Linked DNA regions of Coturnix japonica. The protein of the gene in region 1 interacts with the protein of each later gene in a pairwise test. Links are inferred from orthologs where the notes say so. Each region holds a gene or a part of one and is shown in the gene's direction. Other genes may lie near its edges.

The links.
Region 2: the proteins of DDX6 (region 1) and SIPA1L2 interact in binary tests that used the Homo sapiens proteins (3 or more experiments, as listed by UniProt). The two-hybrid records come from large-scale screens. The link is inferred for Coturnix japonica from reciprocal best matches to the Homo sapiens genes DDX6 and SIPA1L2.
Region 3: the proteins of DDX6 (region 1) and zinc finger and BTB domain-containing protein 8A interact in binary tests that used the Homo sapiens proteins (3 or more experiments, as listed by UniProt). The two-hybrid records come from large-scale screens. The link is inferred for Coturnix japonica from reciprocal best matches to the Homo sapiens genes DDX6 and ZBTB8A.
Region 4: the proteins of DDX6 (region 1) and CEP70 interact in a two-hybrid assay, tested with the Homo sapiens proteins (2 studies listed by BioGRID and IntAct). The two-hybrid records come from large-scale screens. The link is inferred for Coturnix japonica from reciprocal best matches to the Homo sapiens genes DDX6 and CEP70.

Annotation. Positions count from the first base shown.
Region 1 is NC_029539.1:4,827,433-4,835,282, reverse strand, and holds part of DDX6 (probable ATP-dependent RNA helicase DDX6), read left to right. Parts: coding exon 1-104; intron 105-442; coding exon 443-571; intron 572-876; coding exon 877-993; intron 994-2,189; coding exon 2,190-2,253; intron 2,254-3,291; coding exon 3,292-3,393; intron 3,394-4,031; coding exon 4,032-4,207; 3' UTR 4,208-4,211; intron 4,212-5,281; 3' UTR 5,282-7,850.
Region 2 is NC_029518.1:35,172,918-35,181,341, forward strand, and holds the start of SIPA1L2 (signal-induced proliferation-associated 1-like protein 2), read left to right. Parts: upstream 1-3,134; 5' UTR 3,135-3,403; intron 3,404-8,424.
Region 3 is NC_029538.1:4,575,339-4,581,887, forward strand, and holds the end of zinc finger and BTB domain-containing protein 8A, read left to right. Parts: intron 1-90; exon of another isoform or gene 91-438; intron 439-555; 5' UTR 556-577; coding exon 578-1,514; intron 1,515-1,916; coding exon 1,917-2,089; intron 2,090-2,479; coding exon 2,480-2,812; 3' UTR 2,813-3,199; downstream 3,200-6,549. Other genes in the region: zinc finger and BTB domain-containing protein 8A-like, read left to right, coding at 5,580-6,549. UniProt on the Homo sapiens protein: May be involved in transcriptional regulation.
Region 4 is NC_029522.1:18,784,251-18,792,549, reverse strand, and holds the start of CEP70 (centrosomal protein of 70 kDa), read left to right. Parts: upstream 1-3,413; 5' UTR 3,414-3,440; coding exon 3,441-3,546; intron 3,547-3,697; coding exon 3,698-3,821; intron 3,822-4,131; coding exon 4,132-4,312; intron 4,313-4,589; coding exon 4,590-4,759; intron 4,760-5,831; coding exon 5,832-5,891; intron 5,892-6,563; coding exon 6,564-6,663; intron 6,664-7,030; coding exon 7,031-7,119; intron 7,120-7,677; coding exon 7,678-7,752; intron 7,753-8,299. Other genes in the region: FAIM (fas apoptotic inhibitory molecule 1), read right to left, coding at 263-312, 1,399-1,627, 1,996-2,131, 2,662-2,705.

The DNA of each region.
Region 1 (7,850 bases):
AAGATTTTGTTCAAATAATGGAAGACATTATTCTCACGCTACCTAAAAACAGACAGATTTTGCTCTACTCAGCCACTTTCCCTCTGAGTGTACAGAAGTTCATGGTGAGTGCAGTTGGAATCTTGTACATATGATTGTGACACTGTACATAGGGTACACGAGTGAGTGGTGTTCTTTTATTTACACAGTCATGCTTTCTTGGTTTAATATATCAGCCTAAATATGGGATAGAAGGTAATTGCTTTTAGTGTGGTCTGATGCCTTGGATTTATAAGCAATCTTTCATAAACTTTCTTGAAATTTTACCTGCCCTTTCTCATGACAGATACAGAGTGTCTGGGTGGTGCATTCGTGCTTTGCAGTTTAAGTGTGCCAGAGGACAGGATGTCTTTATGCTGTTTTGCATGTAGATACGCCTGCTTTATTTTATTTTGTCTTTCAGAATTCCCATTTGCAGAAACCCTATGAGATTAATCTGATGGAGGAGCTGACCTTGAAGGGAGTTACCCAGTACTATGCCTATGTAACTGAGCGTCAGAAGGTTCACTGCCTCAATACGCTGTTTTCCAGGGTAAGCAATAGGGTTTAGAGCCTACAAAAGCAGTTTTTCACTTCAAAATAAAATAGTAAGATTTAGGATGACAGGTTTTTCCATGACAAAATGTACTAATGATGCTGTGAGCTAGAGTTAAAAATAATTCTTATTCTGCACTTTTGTGCTACAGAACCTTGAAGTTTTTTTCCCCTGTTGTTCAGAAATATATGTTATGAATTGTTTGTAGCACCTGTTCTCTCTTTTCGAAAGGGATTTAGATGCATGCCTTAGATTTGCTGTGAAAATTCCATGTTTACTGAACACTCTGATTATATTTCCAGCTCCAGATCAACCAGTCGATCATTTTCTGCAACTCCTCTCAACGGGTTGAATTGCTAGCCAAAAAGATCTCCCAGCTGGGCTATTCCTGCTTCTATATCCATGCTAAAATGAGGCAGGTAAGTACAAAGTTACAGCAGTTGCTATCTGGGTTCTTCAGGTTTATTTAAATTTATGTGTGCTGTAAAAATGTATTTTGCTTTAGTTCCACTTTGTGTCCAGACTTTTTTTCTGCTCTTTCCAAACTGATCAGTTGGTATTTAGGAATACAAACAGAGCAGTACTCAGCCAGTGTGAGCTCACAGCGTGACTTGGCAAGCAGCACATCTTGCTCCACGGCTGTAGGGGAATCTGAGAAGTCAGGGAGACAGCTTTGATCAAAGCTCTCAGTGAAAGTACCAACTATTACTGCATAGCAGTTTTGCACCCATGGCCTTGCTGTAAACATGAAAAATAGCAACATGGTTTTGGTGCACAGGGATTTATGTTACTTGTAGAGTAGCTCATGTACTCAAGCTTCACACTATAGCTTTCCTTGTTAGCTAGTGAACTTGGAGACACTGACAAGAGGTTGAAGTGATGTGTGGAAGGTGGTAGGACTTTGAAATATCTTACATTTTGTATGTAAACTAGAACAAATTAAAACGACAGCTTTAATGGACACCTGGCTGTTCATTGGACTGACAATACGAACCTTTGCTGGGCTATATATGGAGCAGTAATTTAAGCAGAAAAGGAGCTGATGTCAGTGTTGAGAACACAGCTGTGCAGATGGATTGCTTGAGACCTGGTTTTCATTTCTCTTATTTTTATCTTTCTGGCAAAAAAAAAATGGAGGCATCGTTATTTGAGTGGGACACTGCAACTTGTTCATTTCACTCTCTGAAAATGAAACTGCTTATTAATCTGCATAGTCCAGTGTGGCTTGTTAGTGAGAGAATAGTCTGCGCAGGCACTTGGCTCATACCATCACTGATTCAGTGGTGGAAAATGCTCTGCAGTGGAAAATGGAGTTACTTTGAGTTTTAAAGGAAGGATGTTTCCAGATTTTATGTCAATGCTCATGAATATATTTTTAGGATGTAAGGTATTAATATACAGCATTTGGCATGGAGCTAGGAGAGATGATAGTCAAAACACTGGGAATGAAAATAGACCTTGGGAACAAAAGAAGTTTTGGTATTAAGAGGCAGAACAAGGAGTTTAGACTCAGCTGATATTCATGAAGGGGCGAGCGTGGGATTTGTGGTTGTAAATTGAGCACTCAACTGAAAGTCATAACTGTTCTTTAATTAGTTTATTTATGTGTTTCCAGGAGCATCGCAACCGCGTGTTCCACGATTTCCGAAATGGCTTATGCCGCAATCTTGTTTGCACTGGTAAGAGCCCCTATGCATTTCTGAAGGTTGTGGTAGAGTAGCCATTAGCCCAGGTATAATTGATGAACTGCTTAGTGATAAAACTAATCTGTTTTAGTAAGAGAATTTTTGTCATACCTGTGTGTAGCGGGCTGCAGTGCTCCTGTATTGCAGAATGACCCGGGTTGGAAGGGACCTCAAGGATCATGAATCTCCAACTACCCTCCCCCGCCACAATCAGGGCCACTAACTTCCTCATTTAATACCAGCCCAGGCTGCCCAGGGCCACATCCAACCTGGCCTTGAACACCTCCAGGGTCGGGGCAGCCACAGCCCACATACCACTCTCAGAGTAAAGAACTTCTCCCTGACATCCAGCCTAAATCTGTAGGCATACAGGCTTTCTCTTTTTGGCAACCTGTGGTGGTGCAGCTTGCTAACAAATCCTTTCATTGTGATGATAATTTGTACTTCAGTTATGTTTTCTTTATGTTCTAACATTTGAGTGTCCTATAAATTGTTGGATATGAAATAGTAGAAGAACTGTAGGTAGAACTGTGGCTAGCATTATTGAATAATGATTTACTGATTCTTCATCACTTCCCAAATGCTTTGCAGTTCTGATTGGTCTGTATATGGCCTGAGTTGTATCTTGGCTGCATTACTAAAACTCACTTGAAATGAAACAGAGATAGTTCAGTTGATGGGACGTAGCTCACATTTCAAGTCTGTTGTAAAATGACAGTGTGTGCCTTATTTGATAAGATGCTTATATAAAGCTGACCGGCTCAAAAATAGTGCAAAAACTGGCTTCATGAGAATTATTTTTTTTACCTAGAACTGAAGATTTGATGTCTTGATCATTCGGTTTTTATTATGCTTAACATGGATAAAGAGCAGGAAGAGGCTGTAACAGAATTTATGTCAAATGTTTTGATACACAGAAAGGGCTTGTCTTTAGAAACTAGTGCTAACCAACATTCACAAAGGCTAAATTTCCCAGCCCAGCATTAGATTTCATGGAAGTTAATGTTCTTCATGACTTGTGTTGTCTTTCAGATCTGTTTACCCGAGGTATTGATATCCAAGCTGTGAATGTGGTGATAAACTTTGATTTTCCAAAGCTGGCAGAGACTTATCTCCATCGTATTGGCAGATCAGGTGAGAGGAAAAACATGTTTTAGGGACAGCTTTGCTGATAATTGTAATATTCCTTATGCTTTGATTGGGTTCTGCTTTCTATCACTGTACTGATAATTATTTGGAATAGCTTTTTTTCTGATGTTTACTTACAGGGATGATGGCATAGGATTTTCTTCACAAATACCTGAGTTAATGGCCGTGCTCTTTAAATGAGCTTGAAGAGCCTAGGCCAAAAATAAAAAGAAAATGAGGGAAAAAAGCACCTTTTGCTTTAATTTCATGGAACTCGCCAATGCTTATTGTTTGCAGTTTAGGAAGATTCTATATTGAAAACTTAATTTCTGTGTTTTTTAAAGCATAGTGTGTTTTGTTTGTTGTTCTGCTTGTGCTCCAAAGTTTGTTTCTGATGTCTGGACAGCTTCCAGATATATCCCTGATGATGACAGTGAAGAGTGGAACTCTGTTTACCTCAAGTTCCACACTGCAGTAGTGGAAGACTTTTACTTGGTAGTAGAAAGTCCTTATCAGATGTTGATGTGAAGCTTGCAGGGGTCCAGGTTGACTTTTATAATGAGAAAGCGATGTTAATAACACCTGCAGAATCTGCAGGCTTTTCATTTAACCTCCTGTTACTCAGTTTAAATTTCTTTTTTGAGGTCGCTTTGGACATCTTGGCCTGGCCATCAACTTGATCACCTACGATGATCGATTCAACCTGAAAAGTATTGAGGAGCAGCTGGGAACTGAAATAAAGCCCATACCAAGCAACATTGACAAGAGCCTTTACGTGGCAGAATATCACAGTGAACCTGTAGAAGATGAGAAACAGTAACCATGTGCGTATGTGCTGACTTGAGTAGTTGTGTTGGAATGTCATTGTGGGGGAAGAGGGGAAACTGATGTGCTGAAGAGTCTTGGAATGTGAAAACAAAGGTTTGAAATAGGCTGTCAGAGGAGATGAGGAGAATCCTGCTTGGTGACAGGATGGCTGTGAGCAGCCTAATGAGTTCTTTCTGTATTTCTTAGCTGAGCAGTAGGGGCAGAAAGTGATTATCAGGAAGGTGAGGAGTGAAAAATAGGTCTCTTAAGAACATAGCACCAACAGAACAGCCTGTTCATCTCAGCAGCTGAGAGGAGCAGGTTCAAGCCATAGGTGCCTCATATTTGTTTTGCATTCTTTGATTCATAGAACTTCTGCAAGTAAGCTGAGTAGGTAGCAGAGCTGTAATTCATCTTCATTGCCACTTGAGGTCTACATAGCATTAAAAGAAAATGAGGCTTCTCTGGCAAGGACTTTGGAAGTGTGACTTTTTGATTGCTGTCTGAGGGGAAAAAAAAGGCTGAGTCAGTTCACAATCCAAGGAAGCTGTTATTCTCACAGCAAATAGAGGGTAATATTTCATCTGTTACTAGCTGAGATGCTACAGACCATTTGGGTTGAAAGGAGTTTTGTAGTGCATCTTGTCTTAGAGATCATGAATTAAGAATTCTAATGAAGCTGCTGCAATTACTCTCAGTTAACAAAAAAATTGCCAAAGAAACAGTCTGTTAATTAAAATGAGAATTAAAGCAAAACCTGTATCTCTTTGGAATAACTCAAGGCTAGCCCCAGCCAGCTGGTCATGTCCAGGTGACTTGTGGCCTCTGCTTTGCTGGCTGAGCTTTCTCCATGTTTTAAAATAAATAAAGCAAATCAAACTGTGAAGCTGGGCAAGGTCCTTGGGCGGCTTCCTTGGGGGGAGAAGTTGGGTCATAGTGGCACATCAGAGGGACAGTTCTCGAACTGCATCCAATGCCGGCGGCTTCTCAGGAGCTGCCCTGCAGTCAGCATGATTCATTTCTTAGCTCTGTGCAAAACCAGAACCTGACTTAATTGCAGGTGTTATTTGTGTATTTATATATTCAGGCTTTGACTACATATGCCAGAAGGTGAAGCCCTTTGATCCACATCTGTGACACATCATTTCTCTGGGGATACCCTTCTCTTTGTGGGTTTTTCTTCGTCTTTTCATTTTGGAACTATGAAGACTAAAGAGCTCGGCCTTTTTTCTTTTCAAATTTGGCAGCAAGGAAGAAAGAAGATGAAAGGAGGAATGGCTTTTTGTTTTTCCACTCGTTTGCACTGTGTGCTGATTGAACATTAGTTGCACTAACTGCTGGTTTTAAATTGTTTTTTCTTTGGGTGGGAGGGGCAGCAAGGGAAGAAGAGAAACCCTGAAAAGAGAAGAATCTTTGAACACGAGCTTGTCTGCGATTTCAAATTCTCCAACCATCTACTGAGTGCATTTCAACTTCTCCCTGGTTACTCATCTGTTTTTAAGCTAAAGAGCTTCTTACTTATTCGTGCAAAGTGCCTTATGCTATGAGACCATTCAGAACATCACCTTTCCGACACAGCCCGAGGAATCAACAGCCGTTTTTGGTTTCAGGTCAAAGTTCCCCTCTTTTCCCCCCTCTCTTCCTCTCCAAGTACTCGAGGCCAGGGCTGTGAGGTGAAACTTATTGGTAATACTACTTTTGTCTTCAACTTTTTTCTTTTCTTTTCTTTTGTTGTTCTTTAGTTGGAGGAGTTGATATGCATCTGCAGTTCACCCACACTGTAAATACCTGTATTTAAAACAAAACCAACTTAAAATCTGGGCTGATTAGGTGCAGCATCGTAGCTCCAGAAGGAAAGAGTAGCCTGTCATCTCTTGCAGGAGCCATAAGAAAACCCCTATGCTCTAGCAGAACACTAAAGACTGGTTACCATAAGTCTCCATTAGTAGTTCCAGCACTTGATACGTAGACTTGTTTCAGAGCTGTGGCCCTCTTTCCTCTGGTGCAGTGTGTCCCATAGAAATTCAGATGTGTATATTGTACAAACTTTGTAAATAATTTTTTTTTTTTCCTGTTTGGGTTCATATATAACTTTTTTTTTTTTTTTTATGAAGGTTGCTGGGGTTAAAGGGATGTGACTGATTATGGGAGCAGCTAAAGATGAGAGGGGCTCAGTTTTCTGCAACACTAAGCGATGAGAAATGCTCTGAGCTCCAAGCAGAGCAGGCCTCACTGCGTGTCCCTGGTCAGGGTGGGTTTGCTCCGGTGTTAGCAGCGCTGTTGTACCACTCGTGTGGAAGAGATTACTTGCAAGGCTCTGAGGTCTCAGAAGTCTGTTGCTTAGCTTTGTGGAGATACTCTTCTATTTCCCCCTTAGAAACTTCAGGAACTTTACAAGCTCTGAAGGGTGCCGTGACCCGTGTTCTGCATGGCACGAGGGGGATCCGGCGGGTGTCAGCGTTGCTGAGCAGTATCTGCGTAAGGTGTGGATTTGGGTTTAAAAGAAACCATAGGAAACCGAGACGCATAAACGGACAGTTCTGGAGCTCGATGGGAACGATTGATTTCCTGCAGCGTTGTGTATTTTCTGCCCAACACGACCTCAATACAGACTTCTGGTGAGCAGGGAAAGGCGAAGCCCGCCCTGTAAGTGTCAGGAGCTGCAGAAAGCTGCTCGCCACCTGCTCTGTTTAGGCACGAGTTGCTGTCTGTCACTCTGCGCTGTGTATTGCTGGAACACTTTCTGGTCAAGCGGTGTTGCTTTAAATTGTGCCCCTCCCACCATGCTTGATGTTTGGCCTGATCTGCAGGCAAAAGGAGTGAGACAAATCAAACTGTAAACTTTAAAAATTCCCTTCTAGCCTGTTCAACAACAGCATCAGGAGGCACCTGGATGAACGCAATCCCTTTTGCTCATGTATTGTGTATAGCGATGCCGCACTCACACTATGCTTGCTTACTTTGAGGCAGGAATTAATGAATTGTCTTAATTTCTCCCTTTATTTTTTGACCCCTCCCACACTTTTTGTTTTTTCCTTTTCTTCTGAGTATATTCGGAACCAAAAGGCAGACTTAACCTGTCCTTTGCCTCGAGGAACACACACACCAAACCAGGTGCCTCCTGACAACAGCTTTACAAGATGATGGAAAGGGTGGTTTGTTTGGGGTTTTATTTTTGTTCTGGTTCTTTTTGTTTTCGGTCAGCAGTGACTCCGTAACTGTAGCAAATGCTGCACTAGAGTACAACAAACTCAAGAGCTCGGCCACAGGTAACTGTGAGCCACACAGCTTACATTTGACTGGCAGGTACTAAATGTAAACAACTTTGGGGTGCTGGGAGGGGGGCGGGGGGTGGGATTTTGTGGGTGGTAACTTTGACCAAAAGTAAAACCTTGCTCTTGTACTGCAGCCAGCTTAGGATTATTTCCAGAGTCAGCAGAGGGATCATTTTAGTGCGACAAAGACATGGGAAGTGTAAATAAAAGCTTTGTATCTTGCCAGGGCACACGCTTGTAACAAGAACAGGATAGCAGTGTTGAGTGAGGTGCGTGTGCTTTGCTTTGGATGTGGGGTAGGTGAGCCCGGTGCCATTCTCTGATGGTCCCTCTTGAAGCACAGAACTTTTAAATGGAAAGTATTACTATAAACTTGGCCTC
Region 2 (8,424 bases), on another chromosome or scaffold:
GCTGTGGTTACTGGGAAAAGCATTCATGTGTCCCCAGGCTGCTCATGTGGCTCCAAGGTTGCTGGAGCTTCCAGAGCCCGAAACCCTGGGTTTGCCTGCAGTGCCAACAGTAGCACCAGCCTGTGGATGGCTTGGTGACTCACAAGGAGTGCAGAGCATGTGGCTGCTTCTTGCAGCTTTCCTCCAGTGTGGCCAGAGGGAGGTGAGGTTGCCTTAAAGGCTTTGTAGTGCAGCTCACTTTATTAAATGCCTCAGAACTCAACTGAGCAATGCCAGCGAAGAGGTTTTGTGAGGGAAGTGACATCTTTCAGCATTAGAGAGACCTTGTGCTCAGCGCCTACTTAGTTCAGCAAGATTCTAAGCTTGTGCCCAAAGCTGAGGAAACAAACCTACATTTTCTTCAGCTTGCCTATTCACGAGTGCTTTGTGTCAGCAAAACATGCCTCATCATGTGGCTACCGGATGTTTTCTTCACCTCCTGCACCATTTCCACAGATCCCACTTCAGCCCACTTCCACCACAACAAATGGGACAGTCAGTTTTTGGTTCTAGCGTTGCCAGCAGACTGCAGGAGGTGCTGGATCAACTCCCTGTGTGTTGACAGCATCTGAAGGCTGGCTTCAAACATGGTTGAGCTGAGTAGGCTTTGCCCCTACTCCAGAATTTAATGTGAAGGGGCAAGTGAAGATGCTGCTGAGATGTGTTGGCATCCGTTCTGATCAGAGGTGTCTGAGCTGTGTCCTGTGGGATGTCCTCTGCCTGACTTCTGTTTGTGTGCTCTCTGGCCATTGGCTGAATTGTTATGGTATGCTCTGCATCCATATTGTCTAAGGCCAGACTGTTCTGCTGCAAGTGATCTATCCCATATCTGAAGCAAATGTCCTTTAACAGACAATTCAAGTGAAATACTGAATGAATTAGAAGCTAAAGTTTCCTCTTTCTCCCCACTTTTTCCAGTTACATTTTTATGTATATTGGTTTTTAGTGTGGGCAACGTATTCCTCTTCTCATCACATGCTTTTGTGCTCTCAAGGCTTGAACAGCCCTTTACTATTTTAAGAAAATCCTGTTTACCTCTTTTCACCTGTGCTCTGCTTTCTGGCCCTTGTTCTTCTCTTATTGACTCCTCGAGGGTACACAGATGGTAGCCTGGAAGCCAAATGGAGTGATTCGGAGGGACTGTGAGAGGGATAATTAAAAAAGGCAGGGAAAAAAGAGGGGGAAAAGAAAGCTGTGCTCACAGACTCTTCTAACAGCAAAACCCTGGTGCGTATCAGTGTGCTGGATCTTGTCAAGATGCAGGTAATAAATAATTATGGGAATGCATCCTACACACATTTGGCTTGTTGGCTGTAACCACGTAGACCTGTTCAGTGAGGTAGAACCATTCCATTCCAAAGCACCTTCTGTCAGCTGGGAAGGATCTGCCCATCCACACACAGTGCCATAGGTAGCCTGTGGACGTCAATAAGTAAATACAAATACTCTTAGCACACAAAATATTACCGCTCTGTCACCTGTTAATACAGCATCGTACCACCTTCCTACGTTTGCACGTGAAGTGTAGCCAAGCTCATAAAAAGAACACTGTAGCTGGGCTGACGATACAGGCTGCAGAAAGCAGCCGCGGTGGAGGCGGCTCAGTCATTAAGCAGCAAAGGGAACGGGCAGAGCATAGTGCCTGCGCAGGGGACACCTAGCGGCGGCTGCTAAGCTGGGGAGCTGCTCCTCTGCAAAGCGCTGGGGCTGCTGGAGGGGACTCCTCGAGAGGAGATAGTTTTTCTGGTGATTGAGTTTTCCTTCAGAGCGAGAGGTGCAGAGTGAAGCGTGGCTGCCAGCGAGGGGGGTGTAGTCAGCAATTGCTATGAGGAGTCTGAGCTCCAAGAAACCAGCTGGGTTTTGGAGTGAAGGAGATTATCCGCGGTGAGCATCCCTGTAAGCGCTGCTATGAGGAGAGCTCGGCCAGCAGGGAAGTCACAAGCAAGTGCTGACGGTCTCACTGTGTGTTCCTTGCACCTCCCGTAATTCCCTATCATTCCGCTGACTTTTCCTGGGCGAGCTTTTAAAGAAGCGAACTTTCCAGGAAGGATATGGTCTATTATATGATTCAAATGGAAGAATACAGTTTTGTCCACTTGCGGTTTTGGGGTGAGTTTTATTTTTAATGCATAGTAGGCTCACAAAATCATAGAAATGCTTGAGTTGGAAGGGTCCCTTAAAGGCCATCTAGTCCAACTGCAGTGCACAGGGACACCCTGCAGCTCAGCCCCATCCAGCCTGACCCTGAGTGCCTGCAGGTGTGGGACATCCACCATCTCTTTGGGCAACCTGTGCCAGCGCCTCACCACCCCTACAGTAAAAAACTCCTCCTTATCACCTGAAACGTGTCTTGTCCTGGGTGCCTCGGATGTTTGGCATACACTTGGCTGTTCCTTTCTATTAAAACCTTCCCCAGCTCCCAGCACGGGGTGGGCAGTGAGGACAAGCTTGTGGGGCAGCAGAGCAGCATTGCAGGGCAGCCGGCCGCCTGCACTGCACCAACCGGTGCGACCAGAACAGTACTTGTGTGTGAGAGATGGATGCAGGTGGAGGGGAGAATGAGCAGGAGGGCTAAGAAAATGAAACAGCACGGGTTGTCCTGTTGGGTTCTGTCGGAGCAGCCCTTATGTCCAGTGATGGAGCTGGAATGAGATGGAAGCAAGTGCGTCGGTGCCGATAGTATCTTCTGTTTTGCAGCTTCCGCGTGCACGGCTTCTTGCAGAACTGGCCGCAGAATCGGAATAGGGAAATTCAAATCCCCAAACCAGACTTCGGTTTGCCTACCAGAACGCGTTGGAGGAGGGGGAGGAAAATGCGTGTGCCCGGCCGAAGCTCATTTGGCAGGCAAACTCCAGCGCTCCTTCCCTCCGCCCCACCTGTTGCCGGTCAGCCCATCCCAGCCCAACCCAACGCCAAAACGCCCCGCGACCCCCGCCGGGGGAAGGAGGCGGCCGGCACGCCGCGGGGCGGGGCCTGGCTGTTCGATTGCGCGACAGCGTGAGAGGCCAATGGGGAGTTAGGGCTCCCCCGGGACCGAGAGCGGAGCCAATGCAAGGCGGGGCCGGCAGGAGGCGGGGCTCGGCTGCGTGCGGGGGACGGAGGGAGCGGGCGTGAGCGGGGCTGCTCCCCGCCCCTCCCTCCGCCTCCCCTCCCGTCCGGCGGCGGAGAGCACTCGGGAGCCAGCGCCGGGCAGAGCGCGACGGAGCAGGAGGCGACTGGAGGTGGAGCGGTCACCATCCGGCTGGTTGTGTTTGCGGCTCCGCGCCCCGAGGGACGGGTGGAGAGGAGGAGCGGCCAGGGGGCAGCGGAGCCCGCGTGGGCGATGGGGGTCCCGCGGTCGGAGCGTGGGCTGCAGCGGCTGCAGGTAAGGGAGGGAGCGGAGCCGAGCCGGCCGCCGACGGGGCGCCCGGGGGGGGATCTCTGGGGACACGGGAGCGCTTCTCCCCGCCGGGTGCCCGGGGGGGGGGGGTGGGATCGGGTCACCGTGCTGCGTGCTACGGTGCTCCGCTTTCTCCGGGCTCTTGGGGCCGAAGGGCGGCCGCGGTCCGGCGCGGCGCTCGAGGGGACCGCTCGCTTTCCGAGCTGCACCGCGATCCGCCACATCCATAGAGCCCGGAGAGCGGCGCTGGGATGAGAGTCTCGGGGAGGTCACAGCCTCATGGGGAGCAGCTCTGCTCCGGCACGGGGCTCCGAGCTGCGAAGCCCGCTGAAGGGATCGTGGCAATCACGGAGTTAGTTTGCTCGGAGGGCTCGGAGCGGAGCTGCGGTGCGGGGGGCACCTCGCGTCGGGGAGAGCGGAGAGAGGCTGCTCAGCCCTTGCTGCTTCCCCAAGTGGATTTCGTGCTTTTTACTTATTTACCGCATACGAGGCTCAACCTGCGTTTCAGTCCGTATCCTTCGACACTCTTTGTTGCCGTGTGCTCTTCAAGGGTGGGTGCTGCATCTCCCGGCTCATCGCTTCGGTTCGTTATGTGACAGCCCCTCGGGATGGACTGGACGCGGATCTGTTCTTCCGGCCCTGTCACTGTGCGTGTCGGTGCGGGTGTGCAGGCAGCGCTCCTGACAAAGACAACTCCGAAGTTGCCAAACGTCAGGTGTGGTTGTTAGCGGGCACGGAGCGGGGCAGGGAAGGCGGATGGGTGCCGGGTCGCTTTAATGCGCAGATAGCTCCAATGTCTGCTTTCGGTCCGGCTTCCCTAGGGAAATGAGTTCGGGTTTTCTGCATCATAAAAACTAGAAGTTAACAGAGAATTGCTTACGTTAATTTTCCTAAGCTCTTTTGTGTGCGGCTTTCACTTCTACGAGTTAACGCTAGATGGCTTTCTTATATCAGATATCCCACAGGGAAGGGAAGCGTGTCATCTGTTTCTGCAGCCTACTATTTCTGGTTCTGTCTATTTTGTTCCTTCGTGTGAATAGTAAACTGTCTTCTACATCAGTTCGGTGCTGATGGGAGCAGAGCAGAATTTAGTTTGCTCACTGGCTGACATCATTCACCGATCTGATCAGCTTGTCTTCATGTTTTTGGTCATTATTTTCTACGTGCTGCTACCAAAAGCTAAAGGAAGTTTTCTTAGTTGGAAGATAGTTCTGAACAATATTTACATTTCTTTAAAGGAAGGCAGCTGGATAGGAAAGGTTGTTTGAAAATGGAAAGAAACACCAATTCACTCTCAGTTATTACTTAGTTGGACTGCATTTCAAGAAGGACCACAGTATATTTGTCAGCTGATTTGTCTCCGGCTCGTATCCGTAACTGCTTTAGACAGAAATATTTTAGAGCTGGCTTCAGGAACACGGTGCATCGCAGCCTGTTGGGGATAGGAATGCGTAGGCCTGATGCTCTGTTCATCTTGTTCTTCAGTCTTTCCAAAGCTGTGCCTGTTGTCAATGCAGTCCAGCATTTCCTCTCTGTTTGTCTCTTTGCTGCTACCTCTGAAATACTCGACTCTTACATTTGATCTTTGAAATGTGTTTCATTATTAATGCAAAAATGTTTAAATCATCAAGAACGATGGTGCGTTAGGGATATTTAAACATCACTTAAGCTCCACAATAGTTTATTCATAATTTATGTAGCATTCATATAAAACAAGATCACGGGGAAGGCTCTGAATGTATTGTCTTGGTTTGGCAAGTCCATTGTGGTAGTTTACCAGGTCATGCAGCACTTTAGATGTAACAAGAAGGAATATCTACTTGTAAGGATGCCAGGCTGTTTCACCAATCATGTTGGATCAATTAAAGGTGTCATTTGTATATGCCAAGGGTATGATGTGAAACCTAGAGCTAAATGAAACCTCATTATTTATATGTTTCCAGCTGGTATTTGCTTGCTGTGCCAATCAGGCTGTTCTTTAAGGTTTCTGTTTTGTTGTCATAAGAGAAAGATAATTCAGTCTTTCTTGTGGACACTTACTGACAAGCACTATTACTCAAGTGCATTGTGAAATGTTCTTGCAGATGTCGAGTGAAACGAGGAACTAAGCAAAGCAGTGGTCACACAGGCAAAGCCTCTTTTTCTGCCTGATGACCCTTACAAGTGAACTGAGGCAGTTCTTTCATCACCATCAGCTTCGTGTTGGATGTGGTAGTCAGGCATTGCCCCTAAGATTGTTTTGTGCAGAGCAGCAGTTCTGTCTGCAGGAGGATGTATTTGCTTGTTGCCTTAACTGGGAATAAAATTACGTTTAGGCAGCTCGCTGTTAAGATATTACCGGTAGGTTCATGCTTTTTACTGGTAAGCGTTATAGTTTGGTAATAAGGAGTGAGAAGTGTATCTTGCATTTTCCTACTAACATTACAAGTTCCTGGTTGTGGAAGGAGGGTGGGGTGCTGGGTTATCTTGTTTCTCACATTAGTCATCCAAGATTACCTAACATTGGCCATACTGACAGCTTGAAATGAAGTCATGGTTTGATGAATGTTCCTTTCTCTTTCACTGCAGTTTTTGCTTTAAAGTGTTTTACTTCCATATTCCATTTGTGCTCAAGCTTGAATGGTTGTTTGGGCAAGCTGCACTGTGAAGCAGAGGAGTAAAGAGGAGATGGCTGACTATTTGTTGTGGTGCTGTACTTACAGTAAAAACATATCAATATGCTAAGCAGCATCATTTGCGTTAATCTTTAAAACATCCTGCAAAGTTAAGACAAGTATCACTTCCTCTCTTTATTTTTATGAGGAATTTCATCCTCTTATGGTTCAGAAAGTTTAGGCTTTAAGTGCACCTCAATATTTTTCTGCCCTGTTTTTTGTTGTTGTGTTGTTGTTTTTTGGTGTTTTTTTTTAACTGTATAATTTTGGGCAAATAATGTAATAAGTGTCTACCAACCTGAGAATCCAATGCCAAGCTTTAATTGTGGAATTTGCATTCAGTAGATAGAAAAGTGCTAAACATACTTCTCTATTAAAGAAACACTAATTATTTTTAATACAGATTGTGTTAAGAATACCATAAATTCTTCATAACACTCAGCAGTGGTGCCATATGACTTGAATTTTTATTATTTTTAAGCTTGGACTTCATATGAATTAATCTCCTGAATGTGTAATGAATACAATCAGCAGCTGCTCCGTCTTTTTGAACCCACCAGCAAACAGCCTTCGTGGATCTGTCGTGAAACGTTTTAAGAATAGTAGGTGTTTGAAAGGAAGTGGGCATTGTTTTGGTTACTGTTATCTGGGGAGTTCTGTATTCTTGAAGAAAATGGCCTGTACTTGCTAAAGAATAATTCTGTTTATTTGTTTAGGACTAAGAGATGTGATGAAGAAAGATGCTGTAGTGGGAGGAGGGAACCTCTTGGAAATAAGGGAATCTAGCAAGCCCTGAAGGAGAGGTATCAAGCTGTGCTGTAGTAGCTAGGAAGGCGGCGGTAGCTGAAGTTTTTCTGACATCCCCTCCCCCTCAGCTGCTCTGTGAATTCAGATGCTTAAATGAAATTCTGAGCACAAGACTTGGAGTTCTGCTATTGACTCTGATTCTTTTCTTACATAATGTCTTCATTTGTTGCCCTGCATCCTGCAGTGTGACATATCCAGCTTTGCAGACATTTGTATAATCCTCCCATAGCGTTTGCCATTCCTTCATTCTTTCCCCTCTCCCTTCACTCCCTGTTGCCTCCTAACTTCTCGCTGGCATGGTGCCTATCGACTGTGATGATGCTTTCTGCAGCCTCATATTTTGAAGCACAGGAATTTCAAAATACAACTAACCAGACTTAAGTGATACAAAAAGGGGTTGATGGGATTTATGTTAGAGGATACATAACACAGATACAGAGCTCTGATACGAGCCAACAGTCTGGGCTTCTGTTTCTCTTTTGGTTCACCAGCCCTTATTTTAAATCTGATACAGCCCATGAAGCTGTTTTCCTTTGGTTTGGGGTTTTTGATTTTTCTTTGGTCACTCGCTTATTGTGTATGTATGAGAGTGAAAGGAAATTCTAAACTACTGTTCAGTTACCCCTGTTTTGTCCTTCATCTTGAATTTTCACACTTATTCCCATCACATCTGATAAGTTGTTAAAGGCTATGAGAATTAAGTGGCAAGTAAGGGGGATAAGAACATAAAGGGGAGTAAGAAGAGAATATGGCTTTGTGTAGATGTTATAAATGCACCGAGTATTAAAATCCTTGCTGCTTTTTTTTTTCCTTGGGGGAGTAGAAATGAATTCTGCAATTAATGCATAGTTAGCAAAACTGTCATTGCAAATGAGTGTTCTCTTTCTCTGTCTCTTACATTTTGTGGAGGAGGCGTTTGTGAAAGATAGGATATCTTATTCTGTGGTCTTTTTTTCTTTGTTGTTGGTTTTTCTTTTGCTTGTTTGTTTATTTGTTCATCTAAGAGCTAATCACATGTTCTTCCTCTCTGATTATTTTCATTTGTGGTTTTCAGTTCAAAGCCAATTATTTCCTAGTTTTAGATACCGAAGGATTTTGTTTCCTTGGATGTTCTTTAAGTATTTTTCTAGGTTCTCAGCACTGAAAAGTGAATACTTGACATGTATTGCAATGTGAATTCACTTTAAATGTGTGTGACATAAGGTGTGTGTGTGTGGGGGGAAGTGGGAACAATGTGTCTTTGTATATGCATACATCCTCATTCATAATGTGATATAGTATATATGCAAGCATACATCTCTTACTTATTGTAGTGGCCAGCTGCTCTAGAAGAATTAGGAGCAGCTTAAGGTGATCAGGTTATCTCGCTGCTCTGCTGTAGTAAACTAAGCCTTTGTGAGGTTGTCAGGACAACAGCTTATTATTTTTGTTCCTAGTATGCTGTGTGTCTTTTTTCCCCTCTATAGCAATGAAGGGAGCTGTTTCAAAGAGTGGTTGTGTTGCCATGCAAGGATTGCCAGCTGTGATTTGGGTTCAGCAGGATGC
Region 3 (6,549 bases), on another chromosome or scaffold:
CAGTGCCGCCGGGCGTCACGGGCTGCCGGCGGCCGGTGCGGGCGGGGCGCGGTGAGTGGCGGCGGCGGCGGCCAATGGGGGCAGCCCGGGACGGGAGGGATGAGGCCGGAGCCGAGTTCCCGTTTCTGGTCCCTCGGGCGGGGATGGATTCGAGCCCGGCCGGATTCGGGCGGTGCGGGAACGGCAGCACCGGGCACAGGCCGCAGCTCTGCCGGTTCCCTCGGGCTCCTCGGGCTCCTTGGGCTCCTCGCCATGACGGTGAACGGCTGAACGGTGCCGCCGCGTTTCTCAGCCTCCATCTGAGGATGCTGCTGCTGCTCATTCGGAGCTCTGACATCGCTGCCAAACAGCACAGGCAGCCTCACATGGACTCGTTCCATCCTTTTCGAACAGCAATGCCTGGTGGTGGATATTGGGATATTTAATTCAAATATATTTGTGTGTTTCAATAAGATTATTTTTCAGAATATCCATTAAATGGGGTCTGCCGGCCTTGGCGAGCAGCGCAACGTGGAATTCACGATTGTAATTTGTTTTAATCCCTTTGTTTCCTAGAGCACAGCACATCTGCTTTGGGATGGAGATTTCGTCCCACCAGTTTCACCTCCTGGAGCAGCTCAATGAGCAGCGCAGGCAGGAGCTGTTCTGTGACTGCAACATCCTGGTGGAGGGCAAAGTGTTCAGGGCGCACCGCAATGTGCTGTTTGCCAGCAGCGGGTACTTCAAGATGCTGCTCTCGCAGAGCTCCAAGGAAATGACTCAACCCACCACCGCCACCTTCCAGGCGTTTTCTCCGGACACTTTCACAGTTATTCTGGACTTTGTGTATTCGGGCAAACTGTCTCTCACTGGTCAGAACGTCATCGAGGTGATGTCGGCCGCCAGTTACCTTCAGATGACCGACGTTATCAGCGTGTGTAAAACGTTCATCAAGTCGTCTCTGGACATCAGTGAGAAGGAGAAGGATCGATACTTCAGCCTCTCAGACAAGGAGGTGAATTCCAATGGCGGGGAGCAGCCGTGTCTGTACGGCGCGGGCTGGAGGGCAGAAAGCAGCCCCCCACATCCACAGCCAAACCCAGAGCAAGGGACGTGTATGAGGGGAAACACTTGGAGCAACTTCAACTACTATCCAGCTTCTCAAAGAAACACGCAGCAGCAGCTGTCCAAGCACGAGCAAAGGCAGGATGCCATAAAGAAATCCCGACACCCGGGACTGCAGCAACCCGCTGACATTCCACACTATAAATCCAGCAAACTGGAGGACAGGGCTGCTGAGCCTGCTGGCCACATTTCTCAACCTGAGGACCAGGTTCAGATTGAGGCAGAAGCGGAATCTCCTCACGTGGGGTTTCAGTATGGCCAGGGCTCCGATGTGATCTCCAGGCGCTCAGCCGTGTCGCAGCAGGAGCGCGACTCGCCCCGTCCTTCCAGCAAATCCAAGTCTCCAAAAGCAGACGAGCAGTACCCCAGCATGCCCTCCATTGTAGGTGTGATGGGAGGCTGGGCTGAAGGTAGGAGGGGGTCTCCGTGCTGTGTCAGTGAGAAACACACAGTGCTGAAGGAGCATTTACCAGAAAGGCTTTGTGTTTTCAGGGATGTAGGCTTGGAAAGCTGAGATCAACACTTGGAGAGTGATGAATGAGTGAAGTTGAGCTTTGCAAAGTACATATTCTTCATGTCTTAGAGCTACACAGTCACGATCGTTTTGGTTTGTTATTCTCACTGTAATGTTGCTGATAGCCCCGCTCCTTTTCCCTCGATGTTGTAATTTACACAAGAGCTGTATCTGAAAAGACCTACAATGTCTTTAAAATAGAAGCCATTTTCTGTTCTGTTTCTGTTGCTTTCAGTAACTGGAGTAACTAAACGACGGGTATGTTACGACTTCTTTTAAAACTCCAACTGTTTCCCAGCAGACGATCTGCCCAGGATGAGGTTCAAGTGCCCGTTCTGCACTCACATGGTGAAAAGGAAAGCAGACCTGAAGCGTCACCTGCGGTGCCATACAGGAGAGCGGCCGTACCCGTGTGAGGCGTGTGGGAAGCGGTTCAGCAGGCTGGATCACCTCAGCAGCCACTTCCGCACTGTACGTATTGTTGGTAACCGTGAGTTTCACTTGATGTGTGAGTCCATCTCAGTGTGATTAAACACAGTGCCAGCCTGTCTGGTTGATACATTGACTCCCGTAAAGAATAGGGAGTAGATAATTAACTTGGTTTTGCTTAAGTCCATTTGAAGCATAATTCCAATGAAAGAGGATGAGTTCCTTTGTTGGCTCACAAAGGCACTGCACTGCGTGAGGTCTGTAATGGGATGAAGTGCACAACTGGAGCTCCTGTGGATGTCTCGTGATTGATGTCTGACCGCTGCTCACAATGAGTTAATGCTGACATTTGATGGCACTCTAGCTTTACTTTTTGTCATTAAACGCTTCCTCTCTGATGCTGTATAAATGGATTCCTCTCAATTTTCCCAGATTCATCAGGCCTGTAAGCTGATCTGCAGGAAGTGTAAACGCCACGTGACGGAGCTGACGGGACAGGTGGTGCAGGAGGGGACCAGGCGCTACAGGCTCTGCAACGAGTGCCTGGCTGAAGCCGGCATCGACAGCATCCGCATTGACTTGGAGGCTGAAGCGCCCCTTGAATTTCCAGCAGACGGGGATAAGGATTCCAGGTGGCACTACGGGGAAGACAACAAATCCGATGTGGAGATCGTGGAGGACGGGTCGTCTGACTTGGTCATCCAGCAGGTTGATGACAGTGAGGATGAAGCAGAGGAGAAGGAAGTAAAACCAAATATCAGGTAGTTGTGAGACAAACACGAGTGCATGGAATTCCTTTTACGTGGAAATCCTGTCTGCCCGTGAGCCCTCCACCAGCCTGACATCTACAGAGACCTGCTGGCTTCTCTTGGACAGGGCCAGACTTGCATGTGTTCATGGACATATCATTGAGTCCATCCTGAGTTTTGCTATCGAAATCCCCATACTTTGCTTCATTAGAAATAATGTGCCCTCAATGGAGTAACGGCTGATCCCGGAGGCTGAAGTACAAGGACGAGGTTTTACGGTACAGTGAGTCTCTTCTCAAAACCTCTTTCAAAGAGGTGAGGTCTAAATGCTTACAAAAGTTGCACATCGGTGTAAATTACTCTTCAGCATTCAGAAATAAAGATAATTTTCCATGAAATTTCATTAAGTCTTCATATTATGTCATGATTAGAAAAGCTAGGCAAAGAATTAAGAAAAAGCATATAAAAATGTTTAGCATGTAACTGGAAAAGCATTTTCTTGTCAAACTTATTCCCTCTGAAAATGGGGAACTCAGTCTGAGATGTGTTGTGTTTGGGCTGGAAGGGGAAAACTGTGTCAATGCAGGCCTGAAACCTTAACTGCAAACAGCAAAGATGACACTATTAATTCCTGTGTACTCCAGGGAGTTTCTAGAAGCAAAGGGATTTCTGGATCAATACCCAATTTAATTAGATATTGTACATCTAAGAATAGTGGGACTGGATTCTTTAGGGAAAAAAAAAGATGTGAAGTGGCTACAAGGGGCAAATGGAACAATCTGCCCATAGGAAGACATTAAGTACAGGCAAAAGAATTACTGATTTGCCCTGGTGGAGCAGGGTTTTATTGCTTTTATACACCTTTATTATTCTCAGCGCCATCCCTAAATGCTTGTAGTCATTTTTAAAGTATCTTCTAAGCCTGGAGCTGTAGCTCCACACTGCAGAGCCCACAGCTCAGTTACGTTTTGTATTTAAAAGATGACCATTTTACATCTACCGCTTTACTTTCAGTTGTTTCCTTGTTTTTGTATTACAAGACAAGCTGAATTAAGTGCCTTATATCTTCCATGCTCTTCATTTGACGTATCCAATCATATATTTTGTTTGTTTTCCTCTAAATTAAAACAATGCTGTTTTATTTTCTTTTAATCTCCTTGCATTGCATCTCGTGATTGCCGCCTTCACGCTCCTGTAAGAACCACCAGCCATTCATGAGCATAAATAACATTTTTATTCCAAAAAGGGAAAGCAAAGACCATAATGGGCTGTTACCAGGAATTTAATTCACTGTCAGGAACAGATCTGAATATTGCTTTTAGAACTGCCAAGTCACACAAAAGACACTTCATTTTATCCTTAGATGCTGAAGGCGGCTTTCAGCTGTTTTCACAATTAAAAAACCCCACAAAAAAAGCTCCAAATGAACAAACCTTTCAAACTCTGGACGTATCATCGTCCAGTTTGGGATACACGTTGCTCCAGATAGGAGAAAAAAAGGCAAAACCATCCATTTATTGTGAGCTGTGAAATAGTTACGAGCACAAGACCCTGCAGCAGAGGCTCAGTCAGGTGCTGACCCTGTTACACGCTGAATCCTTTCTTTCCTCCTGGCTCTTAGACATTCCATCCTCCAGGACTTTGGGATCCTTCTCATTTATTTATCCATTTGCAGTAAAGCTTGTACGAAACCCTTTTCTGTTACGTATAAAGCTGTTATGGGATACATGACAGCGTTTCTTCCTGCTCACTGTCGAAGCCTCCCATGCCTCAGCCATGTCAGTGTCTTCATTGCTCATGGTTTGGTTTTGTAGTTGGTGACTCTGAACTGCAGATATTCTAAACGGGGCAAACAGCTCCAGATCTTCAGCTCCACTTATTATTCAATTTGACCTTATTGAAGCTCAGAAATGCCTGATCAGCTACAGGAATCAGTGTCAGTGTCTGGACCCCGGGATCCCTTTCAATCTCCATCCCTGAGCATAACAACACACACCCATTTGCAGCCCTTTGGTTCTGGATGTCCTCCGTTGTTTGAATACAAGACTTTCCTGTTACAAAAATGCTGCTATTGAATAAAGGAATCCATCCTACTCTACAGACTACAAGTATTTCCCATTCAGGTGGCGCCTTTGCGGTGTATGGGGATGGTAGCGGGCTCCCATTGCTTATGGGTGTGAGGGCGGTCAGACGTCGGGAGCTGCTGGGCTGTGGCTGCAGTCGGTGCGTTGCCCCTTTAATTGTGTCCCCAGCCCTCGGGCGTCCGTGTCCAACGCCCACGTCAGCAAATACCTTTTGTTTCTCTCCCGCTCGGGCTTCCAGGGCTCGGGGCTGCGGGAACGGGGCGCTGAGCGTGGCCCGAGCGGAGCCGGGGACCCCGCACCCTCCGCCCGCGCCTCCATCGCGACCGAGCGAGCGGCAGCCGCCCGCGGAACCCGGCGGTGAGTGGCGGCCGGGGCGGAGGGAGCCCGTGTGCGGGGCTGCGGGCGGGACGGCGCCGGGAGCCGCAGCCCCGCGGTCCGGCCGTGCCGCCGTTCGCCGCCGGGAGCCGGGCGGGCCGCGGAGCCCCGGCAGCGCCAACGGGCGCCATTGGCGGCCAGAAACCGGGCGAGAAGGAGAGAAACCGGGCGCGGCAACAAAGGGCGGCGGGGAGCGGAGAGCGGGGGGGGAAGTGGGACTGAGCCGGGATGGCGCTGAGATGGTGGAGCCTCAGAGCTGCGTTAGCTGTGATAACATGCAGAGATTGCGGGTCTCTAAATACAGGGCTCGACTCTTAGAAGAGGATGCAGCACCATTCGAGTCGCTTTCCATCATCACAGCCGTTTGTTTCTTGCTGTAGAGTCGCTCCCCGTCGTTCCCCTGTTGGGATGGAGATTTCGTCCCACCAGTTTCACCTCCTGGAGCAGCTGAACGAGCAGCGGAAGCAGGAGCTGTTCTGTGACTGCAGCATCGTGGTGGAGGGGCGGCTGTTCAGGGCGCACCGCAATGTGCTGTTTGCCAGCAGCGGGTACTTCAAGATGCTGCTCTCGCAGAGCTCCAAGGACACGAGCCAACCCACCGTGGCCACGTTCGAGGTGTTCTCCCCAGAGACCTTCATGGTCATCCTGGACTTTGTGTACTCGGGAATATTGCCCTTAACGGGGCAGAACGTGATCGAGGTGATGTCTGCAGCCAGTTACCTGCAGATGACGGACATTCTTAACGTCTGCAAGACATTCATTAAGTCGTCTCTGGATATTAATGAGAAGGAGAAGGATCATTACCTGAGCCTGTCGGCCAAAAGCACAGCCGGCGAGCCTGCTCACACAGCGCTGTATCGCTCAAGGAGGAAAGCAAAGAGCAACCCAAGGCGCTCGTACTGCCTTTCAGATGGAAAGGCCAATGTGGTGAGCGAGAATTCCTGGAGCGGTTACAGCACTTGTCTGTCCTCACAGGGGATCCTCCAGCGGGCAGAAACACAGCTCTCAAAGCAGGGCAGAAAGCAGCAGGGCTCGGCCAGGAAGCGCCGAAAGCACTTAGGGCTGTCCCAGCCACGGGAGTTTGTGCAGTGCAAAGCAAACAAAGCTGAGCGGGATGAGGGTTGTGATGCATCAGACTGCAAGCACAGCTCTCGAGATAAGGAGGAGGCTGAATGTGATGCTGAGAATGATGTTGGTCACGGTGCTGATGGCTGTAATGACGAACCAGAAGGGACACCCAAGAGGTGGCCTGTTGCTCCACTGGAAGAACTGTCACAAACTTCTGAGTTCATGG
Region 4 (8,299 bases), on another chromosome or scaffold:
AAAAGCATAGCAGCGTATATTTTTATATGGACAGACTTATGGCATCTTAAATGGTAATCCAGGAGACAAAGTATTCTGTTGATTAATACAGTAAAGAATGAATCAGCAGCATACAGGTCAAGGTATACCCCTGCTCCACACCCAAATGACACAACATACTCCTTGCTGCGGCTTAGTGAGCACATCACAGATAAGCACCATGGCTTACTTTGGTTACATTAGAGCCACTGGCTATGAAAAACCTGTGGAAATGATCACATACCGCTGTCTCCATTTTTTCACCGTTGCACCACACATCCATAGTGTCCTTTTCTGTGAATGAAAGAAAAAAAAAGGTAGAAAGGACTCTCCCTCCTCCTACAGACAGACTTTTAAATAATTATGAAGAGAAGGATACCAGGCTACCTCTTGGCACTGAACCTGCCTTTCTTTCCCCCCAGCATCTTTATCTCAGGGCAGTTCATTCTGTCCTTGGGCTCAAGAATTAACCACAGCCCAGTGTGTCTTGTGCCCTTGTGTAACCATAATGCAATACCAAAGTGGAAGTTTCACCACTAGATGGCATGGACAAATTCCTCAGTGGATCCCTTCCTCCATTCTTCTTGTAATGTACTTTGGAAAAGGGGGCAGAGGAAAAGAAATCTTGCAACTGATAAAGTATGCAAACATTATCTGAAGGTTATAGGTTAAGACCACAGTTAAGAAGCAGTGCAGAAAACAGCATGCTGATTAATCTATGAAAAAACAATGAGTGACAGCAATACACCTCTTTTCACAACTCCTTAACTTTGGCTTACGGTTTGTAAGGGAAATTCCAGTTATTGAGTTAATAAACAACAGTGCTGTATAAAACTACACACAGGTATAACAAGATTACCATTTTTCTGCCTGTCTTTGTTATCTAATTCCAACATTCTCCAAACCACACAGGGTTTTATGCTGCAACAGTGCTAGCCACTCGTAGCAACTGGACAGACCGATACCATGCAAAAGGCATTACAATAACAGTGTGATGACAGAAGAACTGGCACAATAAAAAGGTGCTCTAAAGGAATAAGACTGCTCACCCATATCAGAAGATTCCAGGTTCACAGTGGAAAGCTTCACCAAGAAGGGATCTCCAGAAAGAGATCCTCCCCCAGCAGCAGCCAGCCCTTAAATGAGGTCTAAGAGAGGCGCAGTCAGGCTCTACCCCTGCTGGTTGTAGGGGTGAATTGCCCTCACCTGTGCTCCCAGGGCTGACTGGGTCCTTTCCCCAGGTGCTCCATCAGTGTTTCAGGCCGTGACTCAATAGTCCCAATACACCACTGAACTATGCTTTCTCTTAATTACCAATTACTAAATGCATACAGCTACTTTTTGAAAGCAGCGAAATGAAGTCATTCAGTATTTACTTACCCAGAACAATTCTATAGTCTGTACCACCCAAGCTCAGTATCCAAGTGTTGGTTGTTTTTGACCTGTTCTCCATATATTTCTTGGGGCTTTTTGCATTGATCTCCAAAGTATATTCATGTGTAAAGCCACTGACTGCATCGATGTTAATAGTAGCTCTTGTTTTGGACGCTCTAACAGTGAACGTTTCTTTACCCACCAATTTAAACATCCATTCTTTTCGTATCTCTTCCTGTAGATGAAAACACAGACAACAGGTATTAATTGATAAACCTGAGAATGTGTTTTAGTACTTCAGAAAAGTGCACCAGAACTCAGGAAACAGCCCAGTACTTAACTGCCTTTTTTACCCGCAGGTGCAAACATGGAATACTTTGTAAATACAGAGCGCCTCTGCCCAAGGATGGCAAAGCACTTCACCATACTCACACCTTAATTGTAACTGAGACAAAATATGATGTTCATTACACGAGGTAAAGTCAGCCAACTGAATATACCTCACTTGCACGTAATAGTCTATTGTTTGTTCTGATGACTTCTCTATGGATATACACTTATATAATCGTATTACAGTGAATGTTGAGCATATAGCAATTTCACCTTTCCGTCAACATAGACGACACGCTTTCCTGTAGTGGTCCCGTGCTCAAATTCAATTTTATGAACGCCATCACTTAAAGCTACTTCCCAAACAGCCACCAAATCTGTCATCTTCTCTATGTGGCCGTACCGAGACCTGTGGAAACACCAACAAAGTCAATTAATTGTCATAAGTTTACACAATTACTTGCACGTTCTTGCTTTTAAAATCATTCAAATATGACAAAACATCACAAAAGCAGGCAGGTAAGCAGGCTCGCTCTGACAAACACCATACAAAGATATATACCCATCCAAACTCCGGAGCTTCCAGTTCAGGGGGCAGTATAGTTTAAAACTGTACTTAGGATTCAGATGTTCCTTGCGGGTAAATTTAAGCAGGCTTTAAAATGCAGCATTTCATTTGCTCTCTGAGTAACCCCTTCAGCCTTCTGAACTTGAGAAGTAGTTGTAACAGATAAGCTCATCACCTACTGATTCTAGCAGAAATATTACCTACATCATTTGGGAATGCAACTCTGCACACACAAACACACACAGGGAAGGAGACTGGAAAAGATATCCTTCCATTTAGAACACGTTTAATGTTTGGTACAGCCATAAGTGACCACGGCAGTGGGGGATATCTTTCCAAAGGCCGTACGGGCTGCAGCTCTGCTGTTTTACCTTACTTCTTCTTCACTGAGGGTAACCTCCTCGCGGGATGCCATAGTAAACAAAGGGCTTTTAATCCAACCAGCAGCAAGAAAAGAAGAAAAGCAGGATAGCAGCTAGGAATGCTGAGAATGGATGGAGTTATGACTAACGGATTTGTTTGCTGTGACACAAACATCATTTTCCGGACACAAACTGGTTTTGTGTAAGAGCACGAATGACGAATGAAGAGCACGGCTGTCCTGTAACCACATCTCTCCCTTCAGCTGTGAGGGAACCACACACCCGCATTCCATGAGGCTCAGCACCAACACCAAAGCCACCAACCAGGACTCAAACCGCCTCCAACATCCACTCAGGCCCCTGAACTCGTCCTACAGCGAGTTTACAGCCACAGCCTTTATTTCTGCATTACTCCGCGACGTTCCCTCCCCCATCACTCACTGCCATCCTCACAACCCCTCACACCCACACCCCCCCCTCCTACCCGCCTGCCCCGCTCCGGCCGCGCGGGTCCCTCCTCCCCTCCGCCTCAAGATGGCGGCTGCCCGCCTCCCCGCGCTGACCGTTACCGCCCCACGGCTCAGAGCCCGCCCTCATCGCCCGTTCGGCCGCTTACTTTCCTTGCCTGCTCTTCCTTTCCCTTGGCGGCTCAATATGACGGAAGTATCGCGGTAGTGACACAAAAGGGCGCCGAAGCAAAGCAGAGCGTGTCCGGCTCTTCAGAAAGCACAAATTCGGCTCACTGCATCCATTTCCCCTTCTACCCGGAGCGTCAGCGTGCCTTTTGCATGCCTCAGGTTTCTGCCTCTTCCCAGCTTCAGCAGGAGGAAACGGAATGGGAGACCCTCAACACGCTGCTGTTACGCCATGGAATGGTGCCCATAAACACCCCAGGTAAGGAGTGCTGGTGGTGGAGGTCCTTGGGCAGCAGACATGAAGTCATGAGGTGCTGCTGAAGCCATCGGTTCCATACAGTAACGGTGATGCCATCTTCAAGTACCAAAAGCTTTTGGTTAAGGCGTTGTTTTATGATGTGTGCTTCCAGATGTGATTGCTTTGGACAGTCAGGCCTCTCTGGGAATAAGACTTGCATTAAAAACGTTATTGGAAGACACCGACCGACAACAGAAGATGATGTACGGGCTTATGGAGACTAATCGTAATCTTAGGTAAGGTGCTGTGAAGGGAATTTGCAGGTAGTGCAAAGCAAAAAGCACTATTGCTGCCCGTTTTCTGTCACATCCAAAGCCAGAGACCTTTTTCTTGAGACTTTTGTGCTATATGCAGCAATATTGGCCCAGATCTCCTTGAGCTGTTGTCTGAACTGCATCTGCTCTTGCTTCCCATAGTGGCATATTTCCTGTGCCTGCTGCTGCAGGCTGTTACTGGGCACCATCGGATAATATTTGCCAGGCCTGTGCTTCTTGCAGTGCATTTAGTGAAATGAGTTTAATTTAAATCAAAGATTTGTGTTTCTAGAGATGAGGTACGACAGGAACGAGGTCGGGCATCTCGACAAGAGGAAAGGGCTAATGAATTGGAAAACGTGGTGGAAAGCATTAAGGCAAAAATCCGTCAGCTGGAAGATGAGACAATAGCTAAAGTTTGCCGGCAACAGAATCAGGTCAAAGAACTTCATAAAGAACAGATGGATTCACAGGTAAGTCAGTCTGCAGCACTCAAACTTTTGACTTCTTTTGAAAGCTCACATTGGTCCAAATAAATACAAGTCTCATGTCAAACTTCATATGCTATTTGTAGCTGATTTTATGTTTTACAAATAATTTTCTAGTAATAAATTGGAAAAAATATATGAACCCTTCTTCCACTGGCTGTTTGATTAAGCTTTCTTGGGACCAAGCACCAAGTGTGGGTTGGTGGAGCACCATCTCCAGCCTGTGAGTTCAGTTCAGAATGCTCCTGTTATCTCTTCACAGGCAAAATACCAACAGCAGCAGGAAAAGCTGCAAGAACAGGAGGAGATTATTGCCCGTTTGCAGAGGGAGCTGTGCAAAGCTGGGCTGGAGGAGCAGCAGCGTGTTGCCACTCAAACCGAAATGTTCTGCCGGTTTTGCAAGAGAGCTCCCAAGTCCCTTCTAGATCAGCAGTAAGGAATTTTGTTATATTGGTGAATGACTTGTAACATTAAATGAATAAATGGATTTTAAAGTGACGGTTCTTGATACTTACATGGGAAAAAAAAAACAAGTTGGAGATGTTAGTGCAAGCTGAATGAATGCATGGCAGAAGGTAAAAATTCTCGGCCTCTGTATCCACTAGGTGTCAGCAAAGAGGGCGGAATGGCTTATTCTGGAAACTGCATCTGCTACAGTGATTTTGTTCTGGGACTTGTAACGTTTAGAATGTAAATTTAAATAACAAAGCAAAAAAGCAACAACAACAAAGACAGCTCGGGAAAACAGCTTTTGTGACTGCTGACTGCAAGCAAACTCCAGGCACTTTGTGCATGTTCTGAAAGCCTACATGTCCTGCAGTAACTCTGTTTTTCAGCTATAGTCAGAGACAGCTGACAGCTTCTAGGCCTCAGGTGGCTGTTGCCTTACTGTGCTGGTGTGGCCTGGTCCATCCAGGTCTGCCTAGGATGTTTACCTAGGAGAAATTTTAGAGGGATTGTGTGCCTCTCTCTGTTTCTTATGCCCTCATTAAACAACAAAAAAAGAAGCTCTGAGATTCGTTCCCTGACATTTCTCACCTGTACATACAAAACAGAAAATCTCAGAGTGGTTCAAAAGGAAATGCTGTTTCTCACCTATACGTTTTTCTATGGCTTTATTTCCTTGCAGCCATTTCCTTAGAAAGCACTTGTAGTTTCTCTGGAAGTTCTTAGGCTGTGTGTGACCTGTTCTGTTATATCACCTCCAATGGTCCGTGCAGCCCTACAGCTTAAGACTGTGACAGCTTGTTAAGCTTGCTGGGTGAACATAGCCATGAGATGTAAGGGCTGTCAGGAGGATTTAGCTTTTGTCTCCTCTTGAGTCATTTTGCCACTTGTAATCTAATAGGCATTTAATGTCTCTATATTTCTTTTTTTGGAAAACTGCGACTGATATAAGGGAGAAACAGTCACTTTTAAAATACAGTGTAGCTGTGTAAGCTATCCTGTTCCAATAGATTGGTAACTATATCTTAAGTTCAAAATACCATTTTTCCTTTTTCAGGTTTCTTTGTCTAATCGATTATTATGAATCTCAAATTAATCAAATGAAAAAGGAGCTACGGTGAGTCTCATCTAATGCCTTGTGGTCCTACTGCTAAAAGTTTTCTTTCTCCTTGTTGTTCTTAAAGCTTGGAATGGCAAATGTTCTATTTTCTAGATGTCACTAAAACATAAGAAACAGCCAAACACTGTAATAGTCTTGGAAGTTTGGATTAATCCTGGAAATTTCTCTCAGTCTGAGCAGCTGCGCAGTCAGGCCATACAGCCAGGAGGGCATTGTATTTAGACACATGAGCTATAATCCTTTGTTTGTTTTTCGGCTTTCCCTTTTGTAGAGGTTTACAGGCAGCACTACTGCATTAGCTATGCACAATTCACCCGTTTCCTAAAAAGAAAGAAGGAAAAATAAAAAAGAAATACCAGCTTCTCAGCTCCATCATATTGCTTACATGATACAGAGAAACAAGCAGATACCTGAGAGACATTCCCATAATTTGAGATTATTATCTAGAAAGCTGAAATTGGATTTGCTTGCACTGTAATTTCTCTTGAGGAATAAATGTACTCAATTAGTATATGAAACAGCTTTGCAGAACAATAGAGAAGACCAGTGACAGTATTTCTATTGTGATCGTAGTTTAGTGTATGGAAATTTTGACATGTGTACCTGCAAACTTAGATCTTTGTGCCAATTGAATTGCAATAAGCTGAAACAATTTATTTTCCCTAACAGGCAATATAAAAAAGCTGAAGATCATATACAGAAAGAAGTAAAAAGCAAAGAAAACTTCTTAAATCTGGATGCTACTCCAAATTACAGAGCGCTGCTCACGGTATGGAACTGCTAAGAATAAGCCCATGCGGATCACTGAATGGTAACCCGTGAAGAGCCACACAAAAATGCATGTGTTTGGTTTCTTGTCTGCTTGTTTCTGTCTTCAAAGTTCGTAAACTCTCTGGGCAGCATTCACTGTCTTCATCTTATTATGCAAAGATTGAGTACTTTGCTGTAAAGTTCTCTGCTTCTCCACCTGTGGGCTATACAGCAGGATCTTGATCTTAAAGAGGTCTGTTTCCTCACTTATGCTGTCTTATAATATAAAGCAAATGGGAATCTTTCTTAGCACCTGACATGCTTGAAAGTGTTCAAGCTTGTTGATTACAGAATGAATGAAATTAATAATACAGTGTTTGTTGCAGTCTTTTCAGAATCAGCTTGTTGAAACAAAGGCCAAGAATGAACAACTTTTGCTTGAAAATACAAATCTCAAGAAAGATTTGGAAACAAGGTGAGAAACGTTTTTAAAAGCACATCTCTAGGCTTTGCTTCACAGAGAAGGAAACTGAAAGTGCAGCAACTGTAGAAGCCTAGTGTCAAATCTGCCTTTAAAATCCATTCATAAAATAATTAGCATTTTAATAGGGCAACAACAATCAACCTTTCCTTCCTACACTGCTAATAACAACAGCTCTTAGTGTACGCTGTATTGTCTTGGACAACTGCATTGATATTTACACTTCATTGAGCTAGGGCAGGAACAGTGAATGTGGGCAAAATGGTTCTTTCCACTTTGGTAGCATTACTGCCAAGCCTGACTTCCACTTAAAACCTGCTGGACAGATAGAGAAGCAGGTGGTTTTAGTAAGAAAGCCTGAGCCAGCAAAATTGGTTTGGGTGCTATACTATATCTATTTTACAGTTATTGCCACATGTAATTTGTTGTAGAATTTCATTTCCAGTATGAAGTTATGGCACTAGTAAAGCTTTCTTACTTTTTCACCTGGCTGAATTTTATAGCCGACTTTCAATGCAAGATAGATAATGTGGTATGTTTTCTTTCCAACAGACCAACTGAACAGGAATTAAAACTTTACAAGCACCGAGTGAAGAAACTAGAGAAAACTTTAAAGAAAACTATCCAGTAACTATTTTTCTTCAGTAACTTTCACGAATCCTCTGAACTACATAAAGGCAAAGATGCTCTGCAACCAATCACATAGATAGCAGCTTACAAAGCACGTACCTTATATCACCACAGTCCCTTGGAGCCTGGGTCATGGGCAGCAAATGCTTCTGCATCTCCAAAGATACCCTGTGAATCTCTGAAGTGGTGGCACAGTGTCCAAATTGGTGCACACCACTGTCTCTTTGTAGTTCCATTTTGCCTTTTGGGATTGGAGTGTTACCACAGGCAGTATAGGCAGGACCGATACTTAAACAGAAGTCTAGTAATGACAAAGCGTCAGCCTGGAATTTCACTTAATTATCTGTGTACACGTGTACTGAATACTATATATTTTTATCATTTTACATTATCTGAAAAAGACACTGCTTTAAAAATGTTCAGTTCTCCATTTTACATTCTATTTCAATGATCTTTTCACTCATGCAGTGGGTATGATTCAGTAGTTTCAGGCTGAAAGCCATCCTACCGTACATATTTGGCCTACTGGTGACCTACTGTATGT